Rattus norvegicus: one gene and its partners. The protein of the gene in region 2 interacts with the protein of the main gene of each other region in a pairwise test. Links are inferred from orthologs where the notes say so. Each region holds a gene or a part of one and is shown on either strand. Other genes may lie near its edges.

Region 1 (4,264 bases), on a different chromosome or scaffold from region 2:
CTCTCTTCCAGGAAGGTTGGAGTCCTGCTGTTTTGCACTCAACAGCATGGCAGGAGTCCACTCTCTCTCCACAGTTTCATGCAACTTTGAGGCCTCCTCCCCATGGCTTCCCTCTGAGGCTATCTGGGCATTTTAGGTAGTTTCCAATTCTCTGTGGAATTAACCCCCAGGACATCCATCATTAAATAAGAAGGTTTTCCCCACTTTCCTGAAAGTTACTGAGGGCATTTCTCAGAAGTTGAAATCACTGGACCCAAGAACAGAGAGTTCTCTTTGAAGCTATCATCAAAACTGTCTTCTAAAAGGCCTGTCCAGAGCCCAGCAGTACAACATCGCACCATTAGGCATCCCACTGTGGGGAAAAGTGTGTTTGTGTGCATTGTGCCTGCACAGAAGCCAGAGGTCTTGCTGACCTGGCTCGGGAGCTCAACAAACAGCCTAGGCTCACTATGGAGCCCCAGGAACTCTTAACCTCACCAGACCTGGGATCAGAAGTGTATACCCCGTGATCTGCAGTCTACCTCCCAGACTTAAAGACTGACAGACAGCATCTGATTTTTGTCTTGCTTCTGAGCATGTCATGGGGCAGCCTCACACACATCATGTCCCCGGAGAAATGAACTCAGGTCTTCATACCTGCTAGACAAATCTTTTACAGAACCATCCCCAGACCCTGTATGCACATACCTTTACCTGTATTTGCTAATTTAAGATGAGAAACAGCTTGCCTTGATTGCTGCCTGGGGAGGCTGACCACGGGTGTAATTACCATTCACAGGTTCTGCCTATGTGGTCACTGGCCACGGTTCCCTTGCGGTTATATTTCAGATTTGGTTTTGTTTTGAGATAGTGACTCACTGTGCTGTCCCAGAACTCATTGCCTAAGCTAGGATAGGCTTAAAGTCGAAATTCTCTCGCCTCAGCCTATTACTGGTATTAAATGTGCGCGTCTCTCTCTCTCTCTACCCAGCTTTGTTATGTGTTAGCGACATGTGCGTGGTGAATGCTCGCTCCCATTTAGACGCTTGCAGCTGCCCCATCTCTTACTCTCCACCTTATTCCTTGAGACGGGACTCTTCCCAAGTCCAGAAATCAGGGGGGTTTGTTTGTTTGTTTGTTTTTGACAAGGGCAGCAACCAGCAAGCTCCAGTGACCTTCCTATCTTCCTGTCCCAATACACACAGCACTGGGGTTCTAAGGCACACAAGACCACACCCAGCTTGTCGCCTGGTACTGGGATCTGAACTCAGATCTCCTGGTTACAGCAAGTGTTTTTAATTACTGAGCCATCTCGTCCTCCTCCCGCCCCCTCCCCTGTTTAAGACAGTCTCAGCAAGTTTCCAGACTGGTATTGAGTACCTGGTTAATTCATGTGATCCCTCTGCCTCAGCATTCCAACTACTACCAAAATAGTTGTGATTTCTAAATAACTATAACTATACTTTCTGCTGGTGTGTTTGTTTGCTTAATTAATTTTCAAAACAGGGACTATGTAGACCTGGCCGCCTAGAATTCAGAATATAGACCAGGCTGGCCTTGAACTCACAGAGATCTGCTTGCCTGTACCTCCTGAGTGTGTACCACCAAGGTCTTTTTTTTTTTTTTTTTTTTTTTTGGTTCTTTTTTTCGGAGCTGGGGACCGAACCCAGGGCCTTGTGCTTCCTAGGCAAGCACTCTACCACTGAGCAAAATCCCCAACCCCCCAAGGTCTTTTATTGGATGTTTGTTACTTTGTTTTGTTTTGTCTCCACTCCACAAGAGCTCCAGATGCCTGCCAGGAACCTAGGTAACAGTGTAGCAGAGAACTGGGTAAGGCTGGCTGTTGGTCCTCTGGGCCCTCCCATCTCAGGACAGTAACTCAGCCCTTTATGACATGCTTGAAGCTGCCCCTTGCCAGGCTCACAAGCAATTCAAACAAAAAACCCGAGGCTGTCAGTCCTTAAGCCCCGGCAGTAGACTCCAAGCCACATTAAACCTCCTCTTGGCTCCTCACTGTGCTTCTCCCATAACTTATATTTGGACATGTTTTATTCGCTACAGAAAAAGACACATGGTAGGTGTTACAGTTAAGTCTCCCCGTCTCCCCCCAAAAAGATAAACACCTTCCCTTAGTAGAGAGCAGGCCCTTTCTCTGCAGCATAAAATATTGAGGGGGGACAGGATGGCTCAGCAGGTAAAGGCACTTGACTAGCTAAGTGTCAGCCTTGACCAGGCTGAGAGGTGTAGGACAGCCTCTCTACCTCATAGTCCCCTGGGCCAGGTGTCCAAATGTTCCCTGGAACCAGTCTTCATCCCAATCCTGGCTTCTTCTAGAAAGGGCTGCTTAGGAGCCCCCTAGATGCCCACACTTGCTTGGGCACAGCCTACAGCTGACCTGTTCCTAAGTGGAGAGCTTTGAGCCCCTCCCTGAGCCAGGACCTTAAGTGGAGGAGCCTTAGGTATTCTTTCTCCGTACATAGGGTAGGTCCCTAGGGCTGAGGTAAGAAAAGACTGAGGGTTCTCCCCATGAAGCTAGGTCTCTCCTTGACCCATAGGACTTGAGCCCTGTCCTCCCCAGTGGCCACCCTCTCCTACCTTCTTGGATCTCCTCAGGCATGGCAGTTGGTAGGTAGTCAGAGGCCCAATGAGAGTGCCCAGTAGCAGAACTGGACAAAGGCAGCAGTGGCTTCTTTCAGATTCTAGGAGAGGCCTGGCTGCCTCCCAACCTGGTCTTGAAATAGGCCTGAGCTCACTTTCCCTGAACTATATTTAGAGAGGGCAGCTCTGAACCATGAAAAGGGGCAGAGTGACCTGGATGGGCCGGCCTAAACTACCTACTTAGTGATGGGGCTCAGCCAAGGGCAAGCCTCTGCTAGCACATGGACAGAAGGAACTTCTCGGAAAACCACACCAACTTTATACACACCCAGACTTGGGAGCCTTCATCCCAATGCTCAGCACGCACCATGCAGCATGGTAGCAAAGGAACCCTGCACAGGTCCGCTCAGCCATCCCTCTCTCTCAGACCCTTTACCCACAGACTAGCCATCTCCTCCCAGCAATTGGAGACAACCACCCACCACTGTGTGACCATCTAGTACCAGATACTGGGGGTGGTGGACTGGGTGCAACTGGAGCCCAATGCCAAGGGTCTGGCAGCTCTACAAGGGCACCCATACAGTGGTCAGACCGGGATTAGAAACTGCTATTTCTAGTATTAAACTATAACCATGGGGAAAAAGAGTGGCCTTTACTTTTCTACCTATAGAATAGGAACAAGGGTTCCTGGCCAACCGTACTGAGAATACAAATGCAGAGGAATGGCTTAAGAGTTAGACATAACGGTCTTGGCTCTTGTCTCCTCTCCATAAGGCCATGTGGAGGCCTGTTGCTCACTCTTGAAGGGTGCCGTTCCAGCTTGCAGCCTTAGTCTGTGAGTGAACTCTGTTCTGCTTCTTCACAGCTGTGCAAAGCAAGACCATGGCAGGTCTACCTTCCAAACCATTCGGAATCCATAGTGTGATACCATATCAGCCTCCTTGGTGTTCCTCAGACAGAGAGGGTTTGTCCCCCGCTCCAAGACTTTGGTCCTTCTAGTCTGGAATGTTCTGTCACTGGACATCTGTGACTGGCTCCTTTCAGCTCAAACATCACCCACTCAGTGAATTCTTAATACATTCTTGCCCACAACATCCAGTATTGTTTGTTTGTTTGTTTGTTTTGTTTGTTTGTTTTTACTTCAGAGAGCTTGGCCCTGCTGCTAATGCACTGAGCCCCAGAGGCTCATTAGAACCAGCGTAATCATCTACTAACACTTTTAATCTCCACTACAGCCTTCTTGGATGGGAAAAGTACAGGCCTTGAGACCGCTAGGACAATGTCCGAGACCCCCAGCAAGGTCTAGGACTAGCTGCTATCTGCTGGGGCCATTCCAACATCAGCTGATAATGTGTTTATTGTATTACTTTAGTACAGTTGGCCTGCCTCACCCCACACTGGACAGCCTAATCTGTTCACAGCTTTCTCCTCGATGCCCAAGAAAGAGAATGCTTTCCCCAGGGCTGCCACCCAAGACATCTCTCTGGTTCCGCTCCACTCTGGAGCCCCACTTCTTGTCCCCTCCCTCCAGGTTAGATCCTGAATTGAGCTTGGGCCACTCTTCCAGGAATACATTCACGGGTTATCTTGTTAATAAATAAGCTACACTTGGGCCAGGGTTCATGTATGGGTTAGTTGTCTCCGTTGGCCCAACGATCTCAGTGTGCCCCAGCCACAACTCATCTGT
Region 2 (4,306 bases):
GTGTGAAAAGCAACAATTTCAGAGCAGTTTAGATGTCTGTTAATAAAAATAGTGAGTAGCGTGTTGCAAAAATGACACTTATGTAAAGGTTTAGGATGAAATTGTCTAAGCATGTATATACATACATAAAATACAACATACAAAAGCACCAAAATACTGATTGCTGTGAAGGCTAGAATGAGTTAGACAGAAGATTGGGGAGAACACCAAAAACCATGAAGCACATCTGTGACGGTTTAATTTTTAAATTAGGTCATGCAACTATACCGGAACAGCAAATCACTTATGTTCATTGCAAATGGTGGCTGTTTGTTTTTATTCTGTGTTTTCTTTCATGTACCTTTCCCAAGTACAAATATGCTTTAAAACTAAAATGTTTAAAAACTAGCTAACATGAGCTGGGAGTTGACCGAGGAGCAGTTAGTGTCACAGGCTAGCCCTTCCTGTTGCATGCTTCCATTTTACCACACCAAAACCAGTGAAACAGCATTACAGTCCTTTTCACAGAATATGTATGCCATGCTCAATCTAGTTTCTGGCAGAATGTGCTAAGATACAAGATTGTGGTTTTTGGTAAACCAGGACCTCAGAACCAGGCAGGGAAGATGCTTTGTCTGACCTCCTGACCTCCTTCCTCTTGGTCAGTCCTTGGAGAAATTGTCATACTGCATTCATTCCTCCCAGGGAAAGTATGCTGGATTGCTTCTTTGCCTCTGGAACATTTCTGGACATGCATGGCACTTCAAACAAATCAATGTTATTCACAGCAGGGCAACTGTGTTCTCTACTCTGGCAAGTTCATCTAAGTTGGTCCAGTTTTTATTGTTGTTGTTTGTTAGTTTTTTGCTTGGTTTGTTCTGGTCTAGTTCTTGCTCATAGAGGAATGCTTCCCACATTCTGTACTTTCAGCTTGAGGAGGTCATCAGTTCCTCAGTAATGAACATGTTTTCCTCCTAGTAAGGAAAAACAATACAATAGCTCATTGTTCTGGGATGACCCCACCCCACTCCAGCAGTTATTTATAGATGTTTGAAAGTAACACCTAGGCGGGAGAGTTAGCAATGGAACTGGCCACCCAAGAATAGTTACCCTTAGCCACCCCAGTCAAGGTGCCTTACCAGTGCCCACAGGGACCCAACTTTAATTCCTTTCCCATTTTTGTTCCAGAAGAGAATGGAAGGCCTTCAGAAGAGCACATATGGAACTATAGTTGAAGGTAAGAAAACACCAAGGTCCTAAAGAGCTTGAGAACTGGAGGGAGTAACTGTTCCTTGTCCCACTCCAAAACAGGTGCAGATGCTCAGTTAAGATGTAGGGCGGGGGAGACGACTGGTGTTTGTCCTCCAGTTCTATTGTGTCCAAGTCATTGTTTTTTTCATGTATATAGATAATACACATGCACACACATATACATACATACATACAAATACACATGTAACACATATACATGTACAGACAGACACACATTCACACAGGCATACATGCTTACAAATACACATGTATATACATGCATATGCACACGCATGAGCATGTACACATACACACTCCACTGTAACACTGTGAAAATGTTTCTTTGACACTCATTCAGAGTTAGACAGGCCTGGAACTAAATTTTGAGACGTGCTCTTCCTTCATCTCCTCTCAGCTGCAAAAATTTTGAAAAAAATCCTTTAAAATGATTTCTTACAAAACACCTCCGAAAGTCTAAAGGAAATGAAAAACAAAACAAGCCAAAAAAACAAACCAAACCCACAGAGTAAAAGACATAAAGTAAGCATTTTTGCTTTCTGTAACACCGAGACTTGAACCGAGGGCCTCATGCTTGCTGGATGGGCATTCTACCACTGAGCTACACCCCAGCTTTCTACCCAAACGAGCGATCTTTTAGTCTATAACGTACTTAAAATTTGTTTGGACTCACAGGACAGCCCCAGATACTTATCCCTTCAATGCTGGTGAAGGGGTCCCTAGTCCCCCGCCCCACCCCACCCCCACACTCCTGTTCCCTGGGTCCCACCGGACCAATCAGAAGATCTCTCTGGCATGTCCTCTTTGTCTGCGTCTCAGTGTTTCTATCCATCTTCTCTTCCACCCTTCTCCAGCTCCCACTGTAGTGTCAGTTCCCAGATTTCCACCTGACAGTAACTGTCACCATCTCTCATCTCAAATTCAACTGCCGTTTTGCTTCCTAGCATATCCAGACAGCTCTGAATGTGAGTCACTGGGGGCTCTTCCACAGGCTGAGCACATTTAGATAATCTGTCTGGAGAATTGTGGGTAAGGAGGTGACTGTTCTGTCGGTCATGACTTCTCATCCGTCTCTGCCTCCTTCCAAACTCTTACTAATTTCATGACCAGTTTTCTGGGGATCTTCCCTGAGCATCTAATGGGGGAGAACACAGGACGTTTTCTTCAGAAATGATCTGTTTATCTTGGTTCAGATGGCACAGAGCCTTCATGCGACACTTCTACCCCTTGTCTGTGACTCCCAACAGGGACTCTGTGAAAGTCAAAAGTCACCTAAATTTATAGCCAAACAGTTAGGAGCATGGAGTTATGCCTGTTTTCCTGGGATGGAGGACCATGGCTTTGAGGAACTATCCACAAGGACCCATGACCTCAACGTCAGAAGACTCACTAAGGGAAACATAAACTTTCTCTTGTCTACAGGACAAGAAACCTACAGTGTAGAAGACTCTGGCCTCCTGAGGATCCTCCTGGTGGGTAAATCTGGCTGCGGAAAAAGTGCCACAGGGAACAGCATTCTCCGCAGACCAGCGTTCGAGTCCAGGCTCAGAGGCCAGTCTGTGACCAGGACCAGTCAGGCAGAGATGGGCACATGGGAGGGAAGGAGCTTCCTAGTGGTGGACACGCCCCCCATCTTCGAGTCAAAGATCCAGAACCAAGACATGGACAAGGACATTGGGAACTGCTACCTGATGTGTGCCCCAGGACCCCATGTGTTGTTGCTGGTGACCCAACTGGGACGCTACACAGTCGAAGATGCCATGGCTGTGAGGATGGTGAAGCAGATCTTTGGGGTAGGGGTCATGAGGTACATGATTGTCCTCTTCACCCACAAGGAAGACCTGGCAGATGAGTCCTTGGAAGAGTTTGTGACCCACACAGGCAACCTCGACCTGCACAGACTGGTTCAGGAGTGTGGGAGGAGGTACTGTGCCTTTAATAACAAGGCTTCTGGGGAGGAGCAGCAGGGGCAGCTGGCAGAGCTCATGGCCCTGGTGAGAAGACTGGAACAGGAGCATGAGGGCTCCTTCCACAGCAATGACCTCTTCGTTTATACTCAGGTGTTCCTTAGAGGTGGCTACAGTGAACACCAGGAGCCATACAAGTTCTACCTGACCAAGGTGAGGCAGGAGGTAGAGAAGCAGAAGAGGGAGCTGGAGGAGCAGGAGGGCAGCTGGATGGCTAAAATGCTTTGCAGAGTCACGTCCTGCTTGGACTGGCACATTGCAGTGTCTGTTCTTCTTATTGTTCTTGGTCTGACCCTTCTCATCACTTTAATTAATATGTACATTGGCAGGTGGAAATGAGTCTCTTTGGGTGAATCCTGCCATTATCCCTGTCCACCAAATTTCCCCATCTCCATGTTAGGGAAGCTCAGTCTTCAAATAATTTCACTATCATTTGACTCCTGTGCATGAGACACAGTAGAACCCTTCTAAATACCGTTAAGTAAATAAAATATGAAAGAAGAATGTGTTTCTCTCTTTGTTGAAGTTGTCAGGATAGATGATGGAGCAAGAAGCTACCATCATAAAGGTCTGGGGGCTTGCACAAAGGAGGACTCAGGAACTGTGCAGCAGTGGGTGTGTCTCACCTAGAGCCCCACTTCCTACAGATGTGATATTAAGAGGAGAAATGCAGAGCTTAGAGCAGAGTTATATTTTAGTCATAAGTTCACCCTGACCTCACGGTACCTATAAAGTCAGAACTCCATCATCACTCCACCCCTGAGAAAGATAAAGATGGTGTGCAGGAAGCAGAGGACTCTGAAGGTACAGAAGAGACTGAGGTTAGAGGCTGGGACGTGAGTGGGGACTGAGTGAAGAGGTTACAGGATCAGGGTGGGTCTTACACTAGAAAAAGCCGGGTCAGCAGTCAAGAAACACAGGAGCCAGAATGTCTATGATCAGAGATACAAAGGGCTTGGAAGACTGTGTAGGAGGTATAGGCCCTCGGCAGCACAGGCGGGCACAAGCCACTATGGTCAAGAGGCCATGCATTGACAAACCGGATGAGCAACAAATTTTGAGTTACATGTAATTTTCATGTATGAAGCTAG
Region 3 (3,590 bases), on a different chromosome or scaffold from region 2:
AGTCCAGCAAGCTGCCACAGTATACCCCTCGGCCTTAGTGGGAAGTTCTCTTTGAGCCTCTAGTGGGTTCTAGTGCAATGCAGCAAGAATGCCTCTTCCACCAAGGATACATACTTGGCAGGTTATTGCCCAGGTCTTTGCCACAAGGACTTGCCTTCTTCTGACTTGACCCTCTCCTTAAGTTACAACCCAATGCCACCCGCAGCCAGGAGAGAAGAAGCAGCCCCCATCAGCACTAGAATCTGGAGTGCACCTTTGTTTTTTGTGGCCTACTATCTTGGATCCTCATTTTAGTGCAACAAATGATACATCTGATGAGGGACTTAGGGGTTGAGGAGTCACCATAAGCCAGTCAACAGGGAGCCTAAGAAGGTTCTCCTTCTTGAAAACCCTGGGGCTCCATCAACTGTACTGGCAACTCAAGGTCATTCTGGGAAGTCATGTAGGCCTTGTCATCCTGGAGTCACGGGGGAATAAATAGCATGGAGCATTTCTCTCTGTGGCTGCAACGGCAATATACCTCATTCCACACACAGCAGCACTTAGAGGTTCTGGGAGTCCTGGCTCCCAAACCTGGGGCAGGGGCATGGGGCAGGATGGAAAGGGAGAATCTAGGATGCAGGGGCTTCGCCCAGCCTGATGGCCCCAAAGAAGGTGGTGTGCTTGCTCATATTGATAGAGATGTCGGCGTGCACCATCTTCACGGCAATTTTCTGCCTGGCCTTGAGGAGGCACACGCCTGCAGTATAGCAAGTGTTGTAGTTGGTCTTCCCTGTCTCAATGCTGCGGGTGCACTGCAGGAAGGGCTTCTCATCCACCACCACCTCGTAGCTGGCAAAGTCAGTGAAGTTGATGTAGTACACCTGGGTGAGAGGCAACGAGAAGGGATTGGGGGAGAGAGGAAAAAGAGGGTGGGGCCCTCCCCTGGTGAGCAGATAAATCCTCCTCAGATGAGCTGCCAGTATACCCCATGCAGGGGCAGTGCCACCCAAAAGTGTGCCTGTTGGCCAGCAGGAACAGCAGGGTGACAGGTTCCCACTGCCCTCCCCCTCCTCCATGGGTTCAGAGAGCTGAGCAAACCTTTCTTTCAGACTGCCTGAGGTCAAGAACTGCCTTATGTACCATTTCACAGGCTCCACTCCAAAATCCTGGCACGAAGCAGTGCTTCGCACTCCTTAGGTGCTTAATCAATGCTCTGGACACCCCAAATTCCAGTTCCCACACTAAAGACAATTTCGGAATAGACTTAGAAAGCTCAACTGCCTCAGGGAGGTCGCAGTACTGACTTCCCATTTCTCTGTGAACAGGAGCTTCGTAAGTTCTCAGCGTACTCTTCTGTCCTGTGCTTCTTTCCCTGACCCAGCACAGCTTGGACCCCTCTCTTGCTGACTGAAGAAGCAGATCCCGAGAGAAGGGGAGCTGGCCTATACAAATGAGACAGTGGATGCAAATCCTAGGTGCCTAATTTCATTCTGTGGCCAGGAGGAAGTATGAGCCTCTGGCCTAGCCTCATGAAGACTTTCTTAGCTCACACGGACCACTCCTGATCCTCTCCTGAGTGTAGACATTTAATGTCCACCTTTCATCACCATTTGCCAGCACATCCGACCTTCAGCTCTGATGTTTTTACCACCACCAAATGGAATTTAGTTTGTGGGATATTGGGATTATACCCACATGCCCCATAGGAGTGGGGATTGTCTTTCATTTGACACCTTAAATCACTTCATAAAAATGACTTTGCAGGCTCTTCACAAGCAGCATATTTAAATGCCACATCATCTTTTGGGTCAGGACCAAGTAATAAAAGGATACTCTGTGTGCCAGGCGGGTACTGGTTAACTCAACTTCTCTAGTCACTTTTTCTTGAGAGCCATTTGTCAATTCCAGAGTCCTTCTGTCCATCTGCCTGCTAACTGCCTGCCTCCTGGAAACCCTGACCTCAAGTCCTATGTACTTGCAGCTCTGAGGAGAGCCCCAATGGAGGCACGGAATGAGGGATGAAAATGAATGGCCACTGGCAGACCTGTGGGGAATGGGCCCAGGGCAGGAGAAGGACAAAAGCAGAGGGGGAGAAAGGTCAGGAGAATGATAGCAAGAAGGAGGCAAGACCAACAGAAACAGACAGAAACAAATGGGAGAAAGAGGAAGGAAAGACAGTCAGAAATCTTCTTGAGGTAGAGAGAAAGTTCACAGGAGCACTGTCCATTATCACGCCCAAGCTAGCAGTGTTGTGGGGAGGAGTCTCTGCAGCTCTGAAACTTAGTCTTAAAAACTTAGAGCAAGGTCAGGTCTTTCTGTGGAACCAAACGACTCAGAGGGGAAGTGAGGGCCTGGGGTCCTGCAAGAGGGGATCAGACAGCAGGGTGTGGGAAAGGCCTCTTTACACAGTTTTTCAGTGATATTTTTCTAGGGGAAAAATGAAATGGGTTCCTTGGTCTTTCCTCCCTTCAACTCCCTCCCAGTGTGAAATCTGTCACTCCTTTCCCCAGCACTGCCAGAAGTTAGCCATTGGATGGTCTTGGCTTGTTCCACAGTGCCCCTAGGTGGCCTGCACCATATCTGCACCCTGGATATAAGAAGAGTTAGGCCTAAGACCGTACTCACTTCTACCTGACTATAGATGAAGTAGGTGCCGTCCACCAGTACCTCCAGCTCCCCGCTGCGGGGATGTAGCTTAAACACCTTGGGGTTCATAGTGATGCGAGACCAGTCATTGAGCACTCCACCTGAAAGATCTCAGTATGAGAGAAGGGCAGTCACTCAGTACATGTCAACATAATCTGGACAACAGATATAAATAGCAAGCAGTTATCCCCATTTCCCACCAATCCCATCTAACACCAATGACCATAAACGTTTCAAGGGCCAGTATTTTAAAAGAACATTTTGAAGCAGGAAAAGTGTACTGTTTGTAAAGTGGCTTCTAGGCTTGCCTGGGTGCCTATGGGTCTACATATCAGTCTTTGTCCTTGCATTCTTGACCATTCCATCAATAAGGCTCTTTACCTTCTAGCTGGAAGCTGAGGTGGTGATGGTGAAAGAGGAGAGTAGGCACATAACCATTTCTTTGTTGTTATGGTGACTGCACAGGCAAAATCCAGACACTGAGTGGCAGGCTAAGTCTTAGTATTCAATTTCACTTTGCTAGCAATATCACCCGAATTCCTCTCTTGTCTCAGATGTTCCTGTGTTTTTGTCTCTTCTTAATAGATTCTTTGCTATGGCTCCTCCACACCCACTCCTTTCTGGGAAGCCTCCCGAGGGCCCCAGGAAACCACTTAATCAAACAATCCATCTGTCTGGAGAACTAGATGGTGGGAATTCAGTATCAGGGGTGATCACTCAGATGCCAAGGCAGCTGGGGATAGTGACTGCCAGTAAACAGGCCCCAAAGACAGTGAGCTTTACAATACTGGGGGATAGCCTCTTAGGTGTCAGTAGACTGAATGTGCCTAGGAGTTGAGGCACTCTTGGTAAAGCATTTTTTTCATATCCTTAAGTCAGTTGGGGACACAAACATGAGAGGATGGAGGAACACTTCTCCTCCCATCCTGCAGATAGAAAGCTGTTCCTTCCTGCTAAGAAGA

What was found.
Region 1: the proteins of Gimap5 (region 2) and Lsmem2 interact in binary tests that used the Homo sapiens proteins (3 or more experiments, as listed by UniProt). The two-hybrid records come from large-scale screens. The link is inferred for Rattus norvegicus from reciprocal best matches to the Homo sapiens genes GIMAP5 and LSMEM2.
Region 3: the proteins of Gimap5 (region 2) and Eda interact in binary tests that used the Homo sapiens proteins (3 or more experiments, as listed by UniProt). The two-hybrid records come from large-scale screens. The link is inferred for Rattus norvegicus from reciprocal best matches to the Homo sapiens genes GIMAP5 and EDA.

Annotation. Positions count from the first base shown.
Region 1 is NC_086026.1:117,146,391-117,150,654, forward strand, and holds the start of Lsmem2 (leucine-rich single-pass membrane protein 2), read right to left. Parts: upstream 2,911-4,264; 5' UTR 2,597-2,910; coding exon of another isoform or gene 2,575-2,596; intron 152-2,574; 5' UTR 49-151; coding exon 1-48.
Region 2 is NC_086022.1:79,028,199-79,032,504, forward strand, and holds the end of Gimap5 (GTPase IMAP family member 5), read left to right. Parts: intron 1-1,167; 5' UTR 1,168-1,173; coding exon 1,174-1,216; intron 1,217-2,495; exon of another isoform or gene 2,496-2,573; coding exon of another isoform or gene 2,574-2,670; coding exon 2,671-3,554; 3' UTR 3,555-3,719; downstream 3,720-4,306. UniProt on the Homo sapiens protein: Plays a role in T lymphocyte development and the optimal generation of CD4/CD8 double-positive thymocytes. Inhibitor of GSK3A, possibly by sequestering GSK3A in cytoplasmic vesicles and impairing its translocation to the nucleus.
Region 3 is NC_086039.1:69,513,730-69,517,319, reverse strand, and holds part of Eda (ectodysplasin-A), read right to left. Parts: intron 2,739-3,590; coding exon 2,608-2,738; intron 2,077-2,607; coding exon of another isoform or gene 1,943-2,076; exon of another isoform or gene 874-1,942; intron 864-873; coding exon 612-863; 3' UTR 1-611. UniProt on the Homo sapiens protein: Cytokine which is involved in epithelial-mesenchymal signaling during morphogenesis of ectodermal organs. Functions as a ligand activating the DEATH-domain containing receptors EDAR and EDA2R. May also play a role in cell adhesion.